4 linked regions of the Arabidopsis thaliana genome follow. The protein of the gene in region 1 interacts with the protein of each later gene in a pairwise test. Each region holds a gene or a part of one and is shown on either strand. Other genes may lie near its edges.

What was found.
Region 2: the proteins of IDD2 (region 1) and TCP4 interact in binary tests that used the Arabidopsis thaliana proteins (3 or more experiments, as listed by UniProt).
Region 3: the proteins of IDD2 (region 1) and AT3G49950 interact in binary tests that used the Arabidopsis thaliana proteins (3 or more experiments, as listed by UniProt).
Region 4: the proteins of IDD2 (region 1) and TCP14 interact in binary tests that used the Arabidopsis thaliana proteins (3 or more experiments, as listed by UniProt).

Annotation. Positions count from the first base shown.
Region 1 is NC_003074.8:18,838,846-18,843,599, reverse strand, and holds IDD2 (indeterminate(ID)-domain 2), read right to left. Parts: upstream 3,190-4,754; 5' UTR 2,656-3,189; coding exon 2,526-2,655; intron 2,449-2,525; coding exon 2,052-2,448; intron 1,969-2,051; coding exon 1,769-1,968; intron 1,403-1,768; coding exon 771-1,402; 3' UTR 547-770; downstream 1-546. UniProt on the Arabidopsis thaliana protein: Transcription factor that acts as a positive regulator of gibberellin (GA) action, homeostasis and signaling. GA converts the GAF1 complex from transcriptional activator to repressor via the degradation of DELLA proteins.
Region 2 is NC_003074.8:5,060,148-5,064,702, reverse strand, and holds TCP4 (TCP family transcription factor 4), read right to left. Parts: upstream 3,023-4,555; 5' UTR 2,396-3,022; coding exon 1,133-2,395; 3' UTR 1,105-1,132; intron 1,023-1,104; 3' UTR 551-1,022; downstream 1-550. UniProt on the Arabidopsis thaliana protein: Transcription factor playing a pivotal role in the control of morphogenesis of shoot organs by negatively regulating the expression of boundary-specific genes such as CUC genes, probably through the induction of miRNA (e.g. miR164).
Region 3 is NC_003074.8:18,520,654-18,524,434, reverse strand, and holds AT3G49950 (GRAS family transcription factor), read right to left. Parts: upstream 1,970-3,781; 5' UTR 1,866-1,969; coding exon 633-1,865; 3' UTR 501-632; downstream 1-500. Other genes in the region: AT3G49960 (Peroxidase superfamily protein), read left to right, coding at 1-122. UniProt on the Arabidopsis thaliana protein: Probable transcription factor involved in plant development.
Region 4 is NC_003074.8:17,556,921-17,561,777, forward strand, and holds TCP14 (TEOSINTE BRANCHED, cycloidea and PCF (TCP) 14), read left to right. Parts: upstream 1-1,872; 5' UTR 1,873-2,083; coding exon 2,084-3,553; 3' UTR 3,554-4,339; downstream 4,340-4,857. UniProt on the Arabidopsis thaliana protein: Transcription factor involved the regulation of plant development. Binds to the Up1 elements (5'-GGCCCAWW-3') in early light-induced proteins (ELIPs, e.g.

The sequences.
Region 1 (4,754 bases):
TAAAAATCCTGCGTGAAAATGAAAGAATAAAAAAATAGTAATAAGCTGATGTGTCAATCACTAAATGCATCACTTACTGGAAAAGTGACTGCTGATTTAGTATATTTAGATATATTGAGAAACTTTGGGCCTAAACTGAGATAAATGGGCTTATAAATTATGGCCTAAGCCCCCAAGTAACGATGGCCTATTTTCATTAACGTAATGGGTCGTATTAGGAGATTGTAAACGGCTTAGTGTTGTCCTGTCGTGATAATAACACGTCACTATATCGATTATCAATAATGGTCCTACGATACGATTGGCACAGCAAAAAAATCTATTGTCCGAATCTCTTTCTTCTTTTTGTCTATCGAATATCTAATCAAATCAAATGTCAAATTCGAAAGGTAAAAAATTTCAATATTCCACCGAAAATTTTAACAAAAAAACAAATGGGACCCTATTATTCAAGATTTGGAAAGAGTTTCTATATAAAGAAGTAAATCTCACTCTCTTTACCTATTCCGATTAAGGAAACGAAAGCAAAACAATTCCATTTATTGCATTTGTGAAGGAATTTATTAGATAAGAAGAGTAAATCATCATCACTCGTCACTAAAGATTTCTTTGCGTTTAAGAAATCGAAATTAGGTAAATCAGAATAATTAACTAATTGCATATATATTAAATAGTGAACCCTTTCTTTCAAAGGGAAGTTTTCAAATTCTCACACTAACCTATTGAACAAGAACATCTAAAACCCTCTCAAACACATTCATTTACTCTACTTATGATTTTCTTCTACTAATGTCTTTCCCTGAAAACTCTCCTGATCCAAATGTTGTTGCCATATCGATGCCGGTTCCTCCTCCGACTAGAGTAGATAGTCCGTTACTTGGACCATTTCCGTTACCAACCGCTCTACCTAAACCGAGGAAGTCTAATGTCGTTTGTTTCGGACCAAACACCGATGAATTCCCCATCATAAGCTCTTTTAAACCCGAGCTGCTTTCGCCACCACAAGGCAGTCCTAATCCTAGTCCATGAGGGACTATTGCGTCTATAGAAGTTGAAGTGGATGAAACTATCCCTAACCCGTGAAGCAATGAACCTCCTGAAGAAGCTGCTCCCATTTGAGCTGCTTTTTGAAGTAAAGCGGTTGCTGACATCGCGGGCTGAGCGTGGAACCGGTTTGACCCAAGAAAGGATGATCCATGACTTGTTGAAAGACCCAAAGAGATAGGTTCAATGGACGAAGATGACGCGAAAAGACTCTTCGAAGAAGACGATGTTGTGTATATACTTGGAGAAGCCGAGGAAGATTCGAATAAGCCTGCGAAAACACCGTTGCTTGTAACAACATTTAAACTGGTCGGTTTTGGAGCTTCTTGAACGATTTCAGGAGGGGTTTTTGGAGATTCTGTAGATCATAAGAGTCATTAGTCGTTTACATAAAGTTTGATACTTTTTGAATTGAAAAAATAAACTGTAAACAAACAAAAAGCAAATCAATCATATCTTTGATTTGTTTATCATAAAGAACCAATCAGCCATTGAACAACTATTAAACTTACCAAACGAATTATGTTCTTAATCAAGTAACAGATAAAATAATACGACACTACGGACAAAACATCTAACTAAACTCCAAGAACACCACCGACCATTAACAGAGATTACCTTAGCCATCTTCATTTTCAGCTTAAAACAAAGAAATATAGCGACAAAAATGAATCCAAAAACACCAAAAAATTCCCAATCTAGAACACTACAAGAGACTCTTTACCTGATTGCTTAATTGTTAAAGTCGAGGAGGATTTGATTTTAGCAGACTCAGTATCCACCGGAGCAGGAACCGGGTTGGGTACCGGGTTTTTCCGGGTCAAAATTTCAGGATTCTGTTTCTTACTCTGACTATGATGACTTCTCGCATTTTCTTCAGCCAAAGCATCACAAAAAGCTCTATGCGTTATAAAACTATCCCTCCTGCAAACAAAAATCACTCAAAACTTAGATTGTTGAATTTTGAATTTTTTCTTATGTATGATCAAAAAAGGCAAACACTTTACCTAGAAAACAGAGTACCACAATCACATTTATACTCTTTAGTACCACAAATCTTGGAATGAGCTTTCCAATCAGATTGAACAGCGTATTTCTTAGAACATTTATCACATTTCCACTTCTTCTCACCATGTTTCCGACAAAAGTGTTTCTTGATTCCAGTTAGATCTCCTAAAGCACGTGAAGGGTCGTGATGAACACAACTAACTTCAGGACAAACATAGACTTTTTTCTTCACTTCTTTGTTTGATTTCTGACGAAGCTTCCATGGTAAATTGTGTCCACGACGATGAAGTTGAAGATTCTGGTCTCTTTGAAACCCTTTGTTACAGATTTCACAAACAAATCTGTTTGTTGCTAGTAATGTTTTTGGTGATAAAGCTATAACTTCTGACTCTGGATCTGTATAAAAAGGACAAAACTTTAACAAAAATTGAGAAATTTTGAGTTATAATAAAGTTTGGATTTTTGAAGTTTACCAGGCATGCCAGGGAGGTTACGTTTCTTCTTTCCGGTGGAGTTTGGAAGTGGGTTTTGGTTTCCGGTGGATGAGATTGAAACACTTGCTTCACCGGAAACTGTGGAGGAGTTATCTAAATCTACCGGCATCTTTTTTTTTAGTCTCACTCTGTTTTTTTTTGTTTCTTACTGATTCTTAAATATGTGAAAAAGAGTTAAGAATGAAATAAATGAAGAAAAAAAAATCAGCTCATTTTTTTCGTCAACCAAGTTTCAACCTTTAGGGTTTTGTTTTTTACTCGTTTCTATAATTCTCCTCCGTTGTTTCAGCTACCAGTCAATCTGCTTTTCGTAAAAAATCTCTTTTTTTGCTACCTACTTTTTCTGATAACAACGATTGAAATTTAAAGCAAAACCAAAAAAATTACATTTAAAGACCAAAACTTCTTCTACTGATAAGAGAGCTGAGATTCCACCGGAGAGTTACGCCGTCGGAAAGAGACAGAGAAGAAGAAATAAGGCGTCTCGTGAGATTTCGTGTGAAAGAAAGAAAAAAAGCTAAGAACCTTTTTTTTTTTGGGTGGTGGCTCTTTGGTTGTTCCGAGACAAAGGAACCTTTCTTTCTTCTTCTGTCTCTCTCTTTCTCTCTATTGGCACAATTATTATTATTTTTCTCTTTTATCGATTTACAACTTTTCAACATTTTGGATATTTTAAAAAGATTTTGAATTTTTTTAAATAATTTTTTTGAGCTATTTAAAAAGAAATATTTTGTCGATCCTTGTGGGGTTCGAGTGTTTTCAAGTATATCTATCTTGATTTTGGACTCCCATATAAAAAATATCAATCTCATTGTCTCTCTCTTTCTAATAATCTAATTATCTACTCATTTTTGCCTTATGAAGTTAGTAGATAAAGTAGTTTTATGTCATCGACGATTTCTTATATATGGGAATTCATATCAAGTCTTATTATCCATAGTCATGTCACATAATCAACTAACCAAATACTGATATGACCGTTATGTTACAATAAAAATACAAATTTAGTAGAATGAGAGTAAACTACTAAAATGATGAAATAACTTTGCAAGTGAAACGAGGAGTTAAAAAGATTAATTGTCGTTTGTCTTTAAGCGAAGACAGTGGAGGATTTACCGTCACGTTGTCGGACCAAACATCTCCGTTAAAAAAAAAAAATTTCCATAATCGTCGATAAAACAAGAAAAGAGAAGAGAAACAATTACGGAAATTTTGAAATTACGGTTGGTTTTGTCGTCTATCGATTCCATGGTATCAATAAAAATTTCTGATAACCATGCTAGTACACATTTAATGCAATTGATCGTGTTATTTGTTGACCTTGACCTTTTTGTGTATCTACAAATTACGTGTGTCGTATAACATCTTGCGTACAATAATTATCATCTTTTTCATAATATAGTTGTTTATAAGATTGGATTGATATTATTTCTTGCTTTTTGGCAATTGATTAAAGGATAAATGCAACTTTTATGTAATTATATATCCAGCAAAAACAAGCGTTTGACTACATAAATATAATTGTCTTATTTCTTTTTTTACTGTCTTATAAAATGTTTATTTTGATGACCTTCAAAAAAACAACATTATTTTTAGGCGTAACAGGGTCCCTCAAGAATCCAGAACACTATTTAGCCAGCCTAGAAATTCCATTTCCTGAAATAAAGTTTCCAGCACTATCTAGCAATCAAATTAAAGAACTAATAACTTTTGCTCCTAGTATTGTAGTATTAGTAATAGATGGGAATGCAAATATACTAAGCGATAATCCAAATGCTACTTTAAAAAGTGATTAACAAAATATTTGCATGCACGGACATTGCTGGGCCGAAGTCTTGATATCCCAAGCAGGGCCCATTCAAGTTTATATTATTCCATTTCTTTTGTAGGTAGTGCATTTTCTTCCGTGGAAAGCCCTCGTAATGAATAACGAGTTATCTTGGTCCAAACAAATAAAAATGAAGAACAAGTTTGTCCAAGTGAGGAAAAACGTGGCACTGAAGGTATTCAAGTCGGTCACTGTTTACATACTCCTCAAAAATTGCTTCGATTTTGTGTAAGGATCTTGTTGATTTAGCATCTTAAACATCGCCATTCGTATTCGATCACATATGTTTGGAAATGTGAAAATAAAAAAAAATAAAAAAAACTATAATTACTTTAAGTGTAGTATCAATTATCAAATCATGATCTTTTTATTTTCTTGAA
Region 2 (4,555 bases), about 14 Mb from region 1:
TATGATCTTTGTGTCATGACTCATTAGACCTTTAAATTGAAGATTCTTCTTTTCTATCTTTTGATGTAAACGTACTTTATGATATCTCAACTCATCCATCTGGTGTGTTTTGATTACATCACATGAAAAGGTGTTGCTGCTTTTCTATTAAAAGGTAAAGTTAAATATTCTTATAATACACATGCATTTAGACCCCAAGTGTTTTTGACTAAACTTTGCAAAAATCCAATATTATTATCAAAAGATGATGATGATAGAGAAGATAGACTAGTTTTGATCAACTTCCTTCATTTAGACCAACATGGGTGGCTCTCTTTACCTATCTCATGTCCCCATTCTTTTACTCATCAAAGACAACATCACATTCAAGTTTGGTGGATCTCCTCCTACCACTAAAGTAGGTGAGAGAGAACAATTATTGACATCAGACATAGAAAACAATAATCATATTTTTACTCTTAGTGAGCTAAGTTTCACTTGTAATTTAAGGGAACTGGCTAAATCCCCCTGATGTTCCAGAAGAAGAAACAATTCAAAACTTACTGTTCATGGAAAATGACCAACTTATATCTCTTGGGACCAAAAGATTACGTGAGAAATAGGAATCTCATGTTGTTTAAATAACAAGGATCTAGCCTGAACAGAGCAGTAAAAGTAAAACCCAAAGAGAAAGTTTCAGACTTTATTAGAACATCCACGGAGTTACACAATAAGAACAGGGAGCAGTAACAATAGGATGATGATGATACAAAGTTACAAACATAACACAACAAGACGAAACCTTGGAATCTAACCATAATTGAGCTACAGAAGAACGTTGGTCTAACTGGTGAAAATATGAAAAATTACAATCGGCAAGGTTAAGATATTGGAAGAAGAAGAAGAAGAACCTGAAACTGTTGTTCTTTCTTCATTTCCTTGCGTTTTCTAGATTCAGGCCATTGACTACACAAACCGAGAACACCTTCCCTGTTCCGGACAATCTAAGTCAAGCTTCAATGTGCATGGAAGCTAGACAAGCCCTGCAAAATGGTTTAAAGTTCAATGACCAAAGAAGTACAAAAGTAGTGAATTTGATGTAAAAGGACAGAACTTGAGATAAACCTGAAACTTAGAGGATTAGTTTCGATTGTCAATGGCGAGAAATAGAGGAAGCAGAGGACGGCTTGTGAGTGAGACCGTCGTGCTGCTCCTCTTCTTGGCCCTGAAACCGTGCTGGTATGCGAAAACCCGAAGAGAATTCACCTGAGGCGAATCCGATTCCGGGGATTGCTGATTGGTGAACCGGTGGAGGAAGGTGATGGTGGTGGTTGAGATCGTCGGTGGAGATGGATTGGTGATGATGGTGAGGATCAAACCAAGCACGGATCATGGGACTGTAACTGGACTGAAGGGGACCCCTCTGAGAATAAAGCTGTTGGCTTTGGCCAAGAACTGGCTGAAACGACGTCGTTGAAGGAGTAGGAGGAGCGAACAGAAACCCTCCTCCGTTTCCTGTATCGGTTGCTCCGCCGCCACCGCCGCTGTTCCAAGCCACTAGTCTCTGAATCCTTCCGAATTCCGACGACTGCTGCTCCCAACTCGATGTGTCAAACCCTAACGGATTGCTCTGTCCGTAGAACAGAGTAGGCTCGGAGGCGGAAGCAGAGGTGTGGTGGTGATGTTGGTGGTGCAGAAGCGACGGTGGACCATCCGGGAACGATTGCAGCGAGAGACGGAGATCTTGGTTTTGGCTATTAGTTCGAGAAAGCAAATCCGGCGGATGCTGATGATGATAGTTGTGCATAAGGTTATGATTCGAAGGAGCCTCCGTTGAAGAGCCAATCACCGGAAAAAACGACTTTATAGTGTCAGCTATCGAATCTGAATCCATTGACGGCGGGAGAAAACTCGACTCGTTGTTACTCGGATGCTCTGCTCCTCCTCCGTTGAAGCCAACACCGAACTGAAGCTGTTGTTGTTGTTGTTGCTGTTGCGGCGGTGGCGGAGACGGAGAGATTTGGGTTTTGGCGGTGGTTCTTCTGGGTTTAGCGTTAGCAGCGGCTAGGCGAATTGCATCGGCGGGATTCCAGGGAGGAAGCTCAGCGAGCTCGTCAATGGAAGTCTTAGCCTTTTTGATAAGCCAATCAACGGCTTTGCTAGGTCGGTCGAAACCAAGCCTGTCTTGAACATCGTAAAACTGAATCGCCGTGTGAGCAGAGAGTCTCACGCGCCGGTCACGTGGCCCTTTAGCCGTGCAGACTTTGCTGTGGCGGTCTTTTCTTCCGGTAGACCGAACAATGTGACCACCTTGCACCTCAACAATCTCGCCGCAGCCGCCGTCCGCCGCATCCGACGTAGAACGGTGCCTCATTGAAGAAGGAGGCGGCGGGTGATGGAATTGGTCGTCAGACATTGGTAGAGCATATTCGTCGAGACGGCGGCGGCGGCGGCGACGGTGGTCGTCGTTAGAGGGTGAGGAATCCAGAGTAACTCAAAAAGGATGAAACTCCCGCATACTTGCTCTCCTCACCTCAAAACCCTAACCCTAAAAACAATCCTAAGAAGAAGAGGTTTAGTGAAAATTGTGGACTAACCCATATTTGAGAGAATCTCTCTCTTTTTTTCTATAGCTTAAAGTCTCTCTCTATTGTTTGGTCTGTGTAGTAAATAGAAAACGCAAGAAGGAGACCAAAGAGATGAAGCAAGCAAAGCAAGCGAAGGTGAGAGAGAGAAGAGAGAAAGGGAGATGTGTAATTGACCAATCAAGAAAAACCCAGAGAAAGCTTTTCTTTTTATTTTTCTCTCTCGGGAAAATGGTTAAAGAGAAAAAGTAAAATAAGCAGAAGGAAGAGGGAAGAGGAAGAGAGTGTTGTGGGTTTGATGATGACGCAACTGGGTAAGATGACAGTAAGTGTTTTTTTCCTCTCATCTCCACATTCAATACTTTTATTTTTTCTTTCTTTCTTTTTTGGGTAACCAAAGCTTCCTCGTTTCCCAAATTTATTCATTTTTTTCCATTCTTTGTTTAAAAAAAAAATCTGATTGTTATAAGGTTTTAACAGTAAGTATTCATTTTGTTCATGTTAATTTTTAAAATCAATGTTTAACTTAATGTGTAGATGCAAATACAACCAAATAATAATCAACACAATCATAAACTAAATTGTAGGATGCCAAAATATTAGAAAAAAAATAATAATAATAATAATGATGGTTTTTAGAGTTAGATGTTTCCAAAACCAAATTTGTTTACCAAAATAATAGTATAGGATTTGTTATGTGCATGCAAATCATTATGTTATTTTCTAAGAGAATACATTAAACAGACTACTTTAATTTAGTGTGATATAAAAATACTAAGATGTGTTAAAACATCTACTTTTGGTCAGAGTTACTAACTTCCTTGATATGAAAATGGGCACTCTTTTCGTGGACATGTCCACATACATACATAATCATGGGGATTATATACTTAAAAAGTTGAAATCACTGGAATGAACTAGCTACTTTATTTTTCGAGTTTCCGAATTCAATAAATGAATAAATACCCTAAAAACCTATGGTGTTAGATGGGTCAAGGTTCAATTCAACCTTTTGTGCTTCTCGGTTTCTTTTAAGGGTTGACCCATGCTAGTTCAATGCAAATACATAAAGCTTGTTGATGCTCCACTTCTTTTTACCTTTTTGTTGTAAGAATCTCAATAGTTAACTAAAGTAGATTTTATTCGAAAAATCGAACTCGTTAAAAGAAGAATATAATATTAGTTAGCAATACAATTAGGGCTCTTTATAATCTAAGATTTTCTTTTTTCATCTCTCATCTTCGTTTTTGATGTTTTTGTTTTTTGCAATCCTGTTTTAGATTCTATAAACTAGTAACAAACACAATAAGACTCTCGTTATTCTTTGTTCTAAAATCCAATACTTCTTTTCTAGCTATTTTGACTTGTGGAACTAATTGATTTCACCGTATCGTGTTCGTGTGCATATCACCCAAATTCATATATGAAAGGTATTTTGAAATTGAAGAATACGACGTATAAATAAACTAATAAAGGTGAGTAAAAGACAATCTAAGCTTCAACGGAGACATTTCTAAGATCTTGAGAATTTTACGAGTTCAAAAATAATTGGTGGGACTCTATAATAATAGTATAATGCTTCTTGAATCCCAACCAATTTGACTATAACTCTCACAACTAATTCATGTATGGAATATATTGTGGTTATAATACTTGTACCACAAAATATCTCCAGATTGGTGAAAAACGAATAAATACAACAAACCTATTATATTGTTCACACAATTTTGTAGCATATTAAATTTGAACACACGTACGGTAAGCTAACGTAATTTTCAAGTAGTTGAATATGTTTTTTCTTCAAAGCAATAATAAAAACTTGACGCAAAGGATCATAACTATATAATTTTTTAGTTGGAAAAATATATATAGTATACAGCATTATTTGATAGTTTAAAACTATTCATATAAATAATTACTATTAGACCACCTACTTTAATGTAATAATAAATCAGAAAGTGACATATTAGCATGATAGAAAAGGGTCAATT
Region 3 (3,781 bases), 320 kb from region 1:
GGGCCTCAAACTCTACGGCCTTTAACCGCGCTTTTGTGATAGCCATGACCAAACTTGGCCGTGTTGGAGTTAAGAATAGCAGCAATGGAAACATCCGTCGTGATTGTGGTGCGTTTAACTAGAGCTGGTAATGGGAAAATATAAGTTGTCTTATCTCCTATTTTCCTTTCGTTTTATTAATGTTTGAATGTTCATTTTGACGATGAGAAGATATTATTGGTTTTTCATTTGTTTTGTTTATGTCTTCATTTTAAGAAGGCAATTGTATCTGATCCTCTCTACTTTGTATCTCCAACATGTTTATTCTCGCTACAAATTTAAATAACTATATACTATTCAATTTTTCCTATTATAATAAGTTTTCACTGTTATCACTAAGCCTATTCACGGAAAAATATCTATGTAAACTAAAAGTGCTTATGAAGATGTAAAATATGTTTAGTCATAATAACGATTATTTTTCAACGTTAGAATGTTTTGAACTAGTACAAAACAATTGACACTAGATTAGAACAAAAAAAAAAGTTAATAAAAAATATTATTAAATTGTAATTAGATCAGAAATTAAAGCAATGCTATTCTACTATATTAGGTATCCAATTAAAACGCTAATTAAATTAAATCAACCTGATTTAAATGGGAACCCAAACGGTAGCAAACACAACACTATGACCTTTCCACGTCAGCACGAGACTCTCGTCGTCGTCTTCCTTCTTCATTCCCCACCCGACAGCGTGCTCCTCCAGCATCGCCTTCACATCCGCCACCGCATCTTCTTTAACCCTAACTCCACCGAACTCAGCCTCTCTCATTCTCTCTATCCACCGTCTCTTCGTCTCCGTCCTCTCCACTCTCTCCGCACCTTCCTTCGCCACCACGTTTTCTATCTTCCAACTTATCTCCGCCTCGTACCACCGTCTCTGCTCACTCATAAACGTGTCCGTCGTATCGAACGGAATCCAGAAGTAGTTAAACGCCGATTTTAACCGGTTAACCAAGTTCTCCGATGTGAGATCTACGTCTTCTTCGATTAGGGTTACGATTCTTGGATTCAAAGATCGGAGTTGTTTCAAGAAAACTGTTCGGAGCGATGATGATGATGAAGTTAGGGGTTCTTCAGGGATGTAACGGAGCATCATGTGACAGTTAACGACGAGAGCTTCGTTGAATGAAGAAGGATAAATCCGTAACTGTTGTAAGAGGGAGGAGAAGCCATCGGAGTAAGTAGAAGGTACGATTGTGAACTCCATTGTAATGTTTCGTGTGGTGGCGAAGTTGACTAGTTTAGATCCGAGTTCTTCGTAGGAGATGTTGATGAATGGTGGGAAGTGGTCGGAGGAAGAGACGACGGTGAGTTTAAGAAGCGGAGGAGGTTTGTTGAGTCGGCTTGCCATGGCGTCTATAAGAGTAGGGATTTGCATACAATGAGTCAAACTTAAGTCAACGATGTGAACCGTTGAGTAACCTTCAACGGCGGTTAAGATCGCGGCGTTGGCTGCAATGAATCCGAACCGGTGCCACGGAGTGAGGTCTACGAAAGCGGCTAACTCCACGACTGAGAAACGATGGAGTTCATCGGCCTGAGGTAGGAAGCTAATGGTGGATGATAGTGTAGGGGTTTTGGAGACGGCGCGTGAGAGCAACGCGCGGAGGAATGCGGATGTAAGACGTTGGGTGGAGTCACCGTCTGGTGGAGCGATGTTGTTGAGGACCCAGAGGATTTGGTGAGTTAATGCAGCGTCGTTGGAGTCTATGGCGGTGGCGCAGTGAAGGAGGAGCTGTTCCATGAAGTTAGCGTCGCCGCAGCCACGTAAGGGTTTGGGAGAAGGGAATCGGGTCGGGTTGAGAATCCGGGTTTTGGTCATTTGAGTCTGGTTTTAGAGAGAAATGTACGTTTAATCTTGTTATTTTTGTGACACAAGAGGAAACAAAAAGAACAAAAAAAGAGTATAGTAGGGTGGAGACAATGACATGTCCATGATTTTTACGTAAAAGTATTCTGAAAAGTGAAAAATAGAGTGAAAGGAGACAAAGGAGAGGGATGAGGAAAGAAAGAGACGAGACAATAGAGAGAGTCGTGTAAGTATGTCGTAACCTTATCATTGGGAAACGCATCGCTTTGGTCGCTTGTGTTGTGTAAGACAAATATTTGCAAGATCAGCTTTTTTCAATGTATAGAAGATGTGCATATTGCATATGTGTTTATGTATCTCTATACATGTGCAATATGTCTTAAATAGCTAAAATAAGGAATCTTTAGTTAGGTCGGAGGGTGCATTTTATCTCCTATTTAGAGAAAGCATTACATTTTTTTAGTATGATTCACTCGAGTTATTGTAACATAAATATGAACTAGAAGCTGATATTTTTGTTATAGAAAGTATGTATGTGAAGGGGGTGCTTAAAGGTGGGTGACATGTGAAGTGGCAGGTTTGTATTTATGTATATATGTACGGCCGATCAATTTGTCTTCTAGGTGACGATTATTCTCTTTCGCCGCTCTATCGCATTCATCAATAAATCACTGCATACACTTTGGAACAAAAAATAATTTAAATTTATACCTCCATGAATTTGGTCCGTTTGTATGTAGCATTTGGACGTTATTTATTTTATTAAACTCAAAATATGTTTTGAGTCTTCAGATATAATTAAGAAGAAGATTTATTGGCCTTATCTCTTGAGATATATATAAGTCATATAACAATAGACTGATAAAGAAAAGTTATATAGCATTAGACTAAACAAAATGAAAACATGGACTAAACAATCAAACGGCTCCTATGTAGGGATAGGATAAGTATAGTGACAAATCTCATTATCATTATCAGTTTTTTTTCTATGCCTTTGGAAGTAGGTTCATTGCGTATTGGGTATTTTAGGCGCAATATGAAAGCGCTCACAAGGCATGATATTTTCAAGAAAATTGGTTGAGAGATCAAGTACCATCACCTCCAGGAGACATAGACGTTGGGCAGCCTAATGATGTTGTCGCTGTGATGAATTTAAACGAGCTCCATCATAGTTATTGTTGATAGAGATCTAAAATTCCTTCTGGTTCATCGGGATTTTGCCTCGCAAACCTCTGGGCGCACTATAAGGGTTCACAGAGTTGGCTCATAATCAGAATTTTTTCTGTTGATTTTTGCGCATGAAACAACGTGAATAACTCCTCAACGATATTAGCAGCCATCACAAACATCAGAGTATATGCCATTAGCCTCTCCTCTCATAACCATATATGAAATAAACAAATAAGCATACTAATCTCTAAACCAAATTGAACAGAGACATAAAAAACAGAAGACTCATGAATCTTGACCACGTTCCGAGAAATGTCCGTAGATCGATTATGAAAACAAGAGTAGAAATCCCTAGCTAGTTATATTAGGTAGACTTGATAACGCATAACACTTTATTTATTCTGCTTCACCTTTTCGCTAACACTATACACTTTATAGTCCAAGTTACCTTCACGTCTTCTCCTTCACGAACACGTATATGTTTCTCTGTTTCATAAAACTTAAAAACCTACTTGAAACCTAAGGTCTTTCCGTAAAGTCTATTGGGCTTCATCAAAATAATACAAAGTGAAAATTTCCGGCCCCATGGTTTCAAGCCCATTTCAATTACTTGGGGGGGGGGGGGGGGGGAGGGGGGTATTGGAGCAATGAATTTGACGGAATTTATTAGAATGTTGATTCTAGTGTTATTCAATTAGGCATTTTATAAATTCTTTTAAATTCTAGTATTATTCAGTTTCTCAATTTCTTAATTCTAC
Region 4 (4,857 bases), 1.3 Mb from region 1:
AGTAATATTTATAATTTAGACCGACCACTTGTGTTTCTGTCATTTTACATTTATGAATATGAACAATCCATTTGATTCCGTCCTAGGTGGGAGTAGACTGCAATCTACAATAATTAATTTATAGTACAAAACCAATTGATTAGTGAATTGGTTTAAGTTATTAAACTAAAAGAAGTAATTATTCAAGGTTGAGCCCTAGCTATAGTGCCAGATATTTTTAATTAAATCCTAATTAAGCATTTAATTAAGACCCCAATAGACGAAACGAAAGCAAGTACCATCATCATATATAATCATGCATATTTATCAAAGTTTTATATTTTATAACAAGAGAGGGAATCCCAAAGCTATCATCATCATCCACATTTACTCTACCATACTTTCGATTCTTTATGCTCTTTTTATAATCTTAATTGTTGTTGAAACTTTTGCTTCTTTATTTTAAATATACGTTTATGGTGCTTATTTAAACAACAAATATGTAATACGTCGAAACAGTTTGTAATATGTGTACGTAATATTAAACTATATCATTTCTTCGAATAATAACACATATCACATATCATATGTTATTTACAAAAATTCTTCATCAAATACATTCATTAACATATATATATATATTTATATATATGACATCTATGATCATATATTTTTATTTTTATCAAAATAGTCATAGTTTCCATATGTATTATTAATAGAGTTTAGTTTACAATATTTCAAAGCCTTAATAAGTAGTTCTTTTACTTTGAAAAAACAAAAATAGACATTTATAATAGAAAAACAGAGAGGTTGGTTAAAATGCTAAAAGTCTCATTTTATTCATACTTTTAGTTTTTTCTTTTTTTTTTGAAAAACCCTATTTATTTGATAACATACATAAATCAACTTTTGGGCAGTGGTGTTACATACCATAGTTCTTCACTTTTTTTGTATAGAGATTTGCTATCTGATTAAATAAAAACGAATAATGCTTGGGTTTAAAATTGTGAATAACAATGATAATGTTTCTAGTTTCCGGCAAAAGTAGCAGGGGAAGAATGATTACGTGAATGATGTAGGACCCAAAACGTTTTGAAATAAATTACTAAATTTTTGACCAAATTGAGTTGTTTAATTTGGAGAGGAGTGTTGGCCCCATCACTCTCTCGTCGACCTCTCCATTGTCTTTATGGAATGAATGATAAAAGAGGACACCTCACGTGGACTCTGCTGCCACAACGACTCTCTCCAACCATATCCCCTTCACATATATGACATATTTTTCTTACATTTACTATATATTAAAGACTCCACATTGTACATTTTTTCATCTCATTTATTAACGCAACGTTCAGATTTTTCCATTTTTAACTAGTCGTGAAAAGTATTTTCGTTGTACGGTGAATATTGTAGCCCTTTTTTACGGTGGGTGTTTTTTTTTTCATTTGATTGATGAGTAAATCTACATCGAGAAAAGAATATAATGAAAGATATACCGAAATCTTTTGATTATGGACAGATTTATTTTGTTTAAACCTTTTTTTTTTTTTACTGTTTTAAAAAGTTGACTAAATGCTTATCTGAGAAAATAATTAACGTGAAAAATAATTTGATATAATTCGGATTAAGTTAACTATAACAGACTGATTTTGATTGAGCAGAAATTAACGTTGAAATATTCACATTGGCTAATTACATCAATTCATTTTTGCGTTGATTAAATGACACTTTCTTTTCTTCAACTATTAAATGATATTCCCATTGTTGACATTTCTCTAAGTATATGATTTTAAGTAATTTTCATAAAGAAGCAATGAACAGTATTTTCATTTGAAAAAAAAAAGATATGTAATGAGATTTTTCTTTTAATTTTTTAATGTTATGTAAAGCTCACCCATATAATTCTCACTCATGATCTTTGTTTCTTTAAGCTTTTCTTCTCCATTGTCTCTCTCTTTCTTATCCTCTCTTTCTCAATCAATTCCTTCAGACTTATACACTTTATTTTTTTTCCCCTCTTGTCGAAAACATCACATATAAATAAAAAACCAAAAACCCTAATTTATAAAATATATATAAAATAGTTATAGCTCCCCACTTATATATGCAAAAGCCAACATCAAGTATCTTAAATGTCATAATGGACGGTGGAGACAGCGTCGGAGGAGGAGGAGGAGATGATCACCACCGTCACCTCCACCATCACCACCGCCCTACTTTCCCTTTTCAACTACTCGGAAAACACGACCCCGACGACAACCATCAACAACAACCTTCCCCTTCCTCCTCCTCCTCTCTATTTTCTCTCCATCAACACCAACAATTATCTCAATCGCAACCTCAATCGCAATCGCAAAAGTCACAACCGCAGACAACGCAAAAAGAGTTATTACAAACGCAAGAGGAATCTGCGGTGGTGGCAGCTAAAAAGCCACCGTTGAAACGAGCGTCGACGAAAGACCGACACACGAAAGTAGACGGAAGAGGGAGGAGAATAAGGATGCCGGCGTTATGTGCAGCTAGGGTTTTTCAGCTAACGCGAGAGCTAGGTCATAAATCCGACGGTGAGACAATAGAGTGGCTTCTTCAACAAGCTGAACCATCTGTAATCGCCGCCACCGGAACCGGAACAATCCCGGCGAATTTCACTTCTTTAAACATCTCTCTCCGTTCTTCAGGCTCTTCCATGTCTCTTCCTTCTCATTTCCGCTCCGCCGCTTCCACTTTTAGCCCTAATAACATATTTTCTCCGGCGATGCTTCAACAACAACAACAACAACAACGTGGTGGTGGTGTTGGGTTTCATCATCCCCATCTACAGGGACGTGCACCTACGTCGTCTTTGTTTCCTGGTATTGATAACTTCACACCAACGACGTCGTTTTTGAACTTTCATAATCCAACAAAGCAAGAAGGAGATCAAGATTCTGAAGAGTTAAACTCGGAGAAGAAAAGAAGAATCCAAACGACGTCGGATTTGCATCAACAACAACAACAACACCAACATGATCAAATCGGAGGATATACACTTCAATCTAGCAACAGTGGATCTACAGCCACCGCAGCCGCCGCGCAACAAATACCGGGAAATTTCTGGATGGTTGCGGCGGCTGCGGCTGCAGGTGGTGGTGGTGGTAATAACAACCAAACAGGTGGTCTTATGACAGCTTCTATTGGTACTGGTGGCGGCGGTGGAGAGCCTGTTTGGACGTTTCCTTCCATTAACACGGCAGCGGCAGCGTTATATAGAAGTGGCGTTTCGGGCGTTCCAAGCGGCGCGGTTTCTAGCGGTTTACATTTTATGAATTTCGCAGCGCCAATGGCATTTCTTACTGGACAACAACAGCTAGCAACAACTAGTAATCATGAGATTAATGAAGATAGTAATAATAATGAAGGAGGAAGAAGTGACGGTGGTGGTGATCATCATAATACACAGAGACATCATCATCATCAACAACAACATCATCATAATATTCTCTCCGGCTTGAACCAGTACGGACGGCAAGTTTCCGGCGACTCTCAAGCTAGTGGATCACTTGGAGGTGGTGATGAGGAGGATCAGCAAGATTAGACACACACAAAAACATTTTAACGGTGGGATTTTCTGCCGACGGCGGTAGCGGTGACGGCGTTCGGCGGCTGTGTAAAACTTTTGTTTTCACCGTTAATTTTTTTTATTTTCTGTAGTAATTTTTTTTGCTAAGTAAAAAAAAAAAAAAAAACACGTGAGATTTTCTTTTTAATTTTGATTTTTTTACTTGATTTTAAATTTGATTTTTCTTGTGAGTGAGTGATTAAATAGTACACGAGATTTTTTATGTCAGGTTTTTTGGATTTTGAGGAGAATATGACACTTTTTTTTATCATTATTGTTTTTAATTGTTTTTTTTCTTCTTCTGATAGTGTCACTGTCGTCTCGATTCTCAATCATCTTCGTTTTCTTTATCCATTAAGAAATTAATTATACATAAAGAAAAATTCTAAAAAGTATTCGTCAAACAATGTTGGTTCCTATAGTAATAATAGTAACATATACATCAAAGTATAATCTTACTGTTTTTTTAGTAACATTACGTTTTTTTAAGTGTTAATACAAAAAAAATTGAGAAACTATTTTATCAAGGAATGAGATGGGCCTCTCTCTATTGGCCCACCAATCTCTGTTATATTTGGCCCTTGAAGTAGTTGTTTCAAAGCTAATAGAAAACAGCAAAGTGTCTCGTTTGTTTTACATGGTCGAACGAAAACGATACAAAAAACATAAAAATATCTCGTTTGATCTTATATGCTATGAAATATATTAAATGCTTTTTTTAGTATATGATTCATTTTATCTCTGTTTCTTTGTCGTTTGTCCCCACTAAACAATCAATCTGATTTTGTATATGATGAGATATCTAATACTATTATATCATGATATTGTTAAAACTGGTTTTGTATATGATGATAATATTATATCAAGACTAGTTTAGACTATGAGAATTAATTAGAAAGTGATATAGTTTGAATGTCGCGTACAAAGTTATGGCTCAAAATTTTGTTTCTTTTTTTTTGACGAAGTACACCAAAAATATTTGATTGTTTCAGTATATTCTTTTTGTGTTTGTATGCCTTTAGAAAGTAATATTAACAATTTGTAAATTGATAGTGTTTAATTAGAACATAATTTACTTTATAAAATCTATTATTATGTTGTGAAAGAAAATATTCACTCAACATCGATCGGTCATATATTCAAGAATCAAGATAAATAATCTGAAGTTTTAAAAATCTGTTTTCGCATGGGTTAAATATAAGTTTTTACAAAAAGGATGAAGACAGAAAACAAATAAAAATAAATGTGAATGCAGACTATATAATATATCATTGAATGTA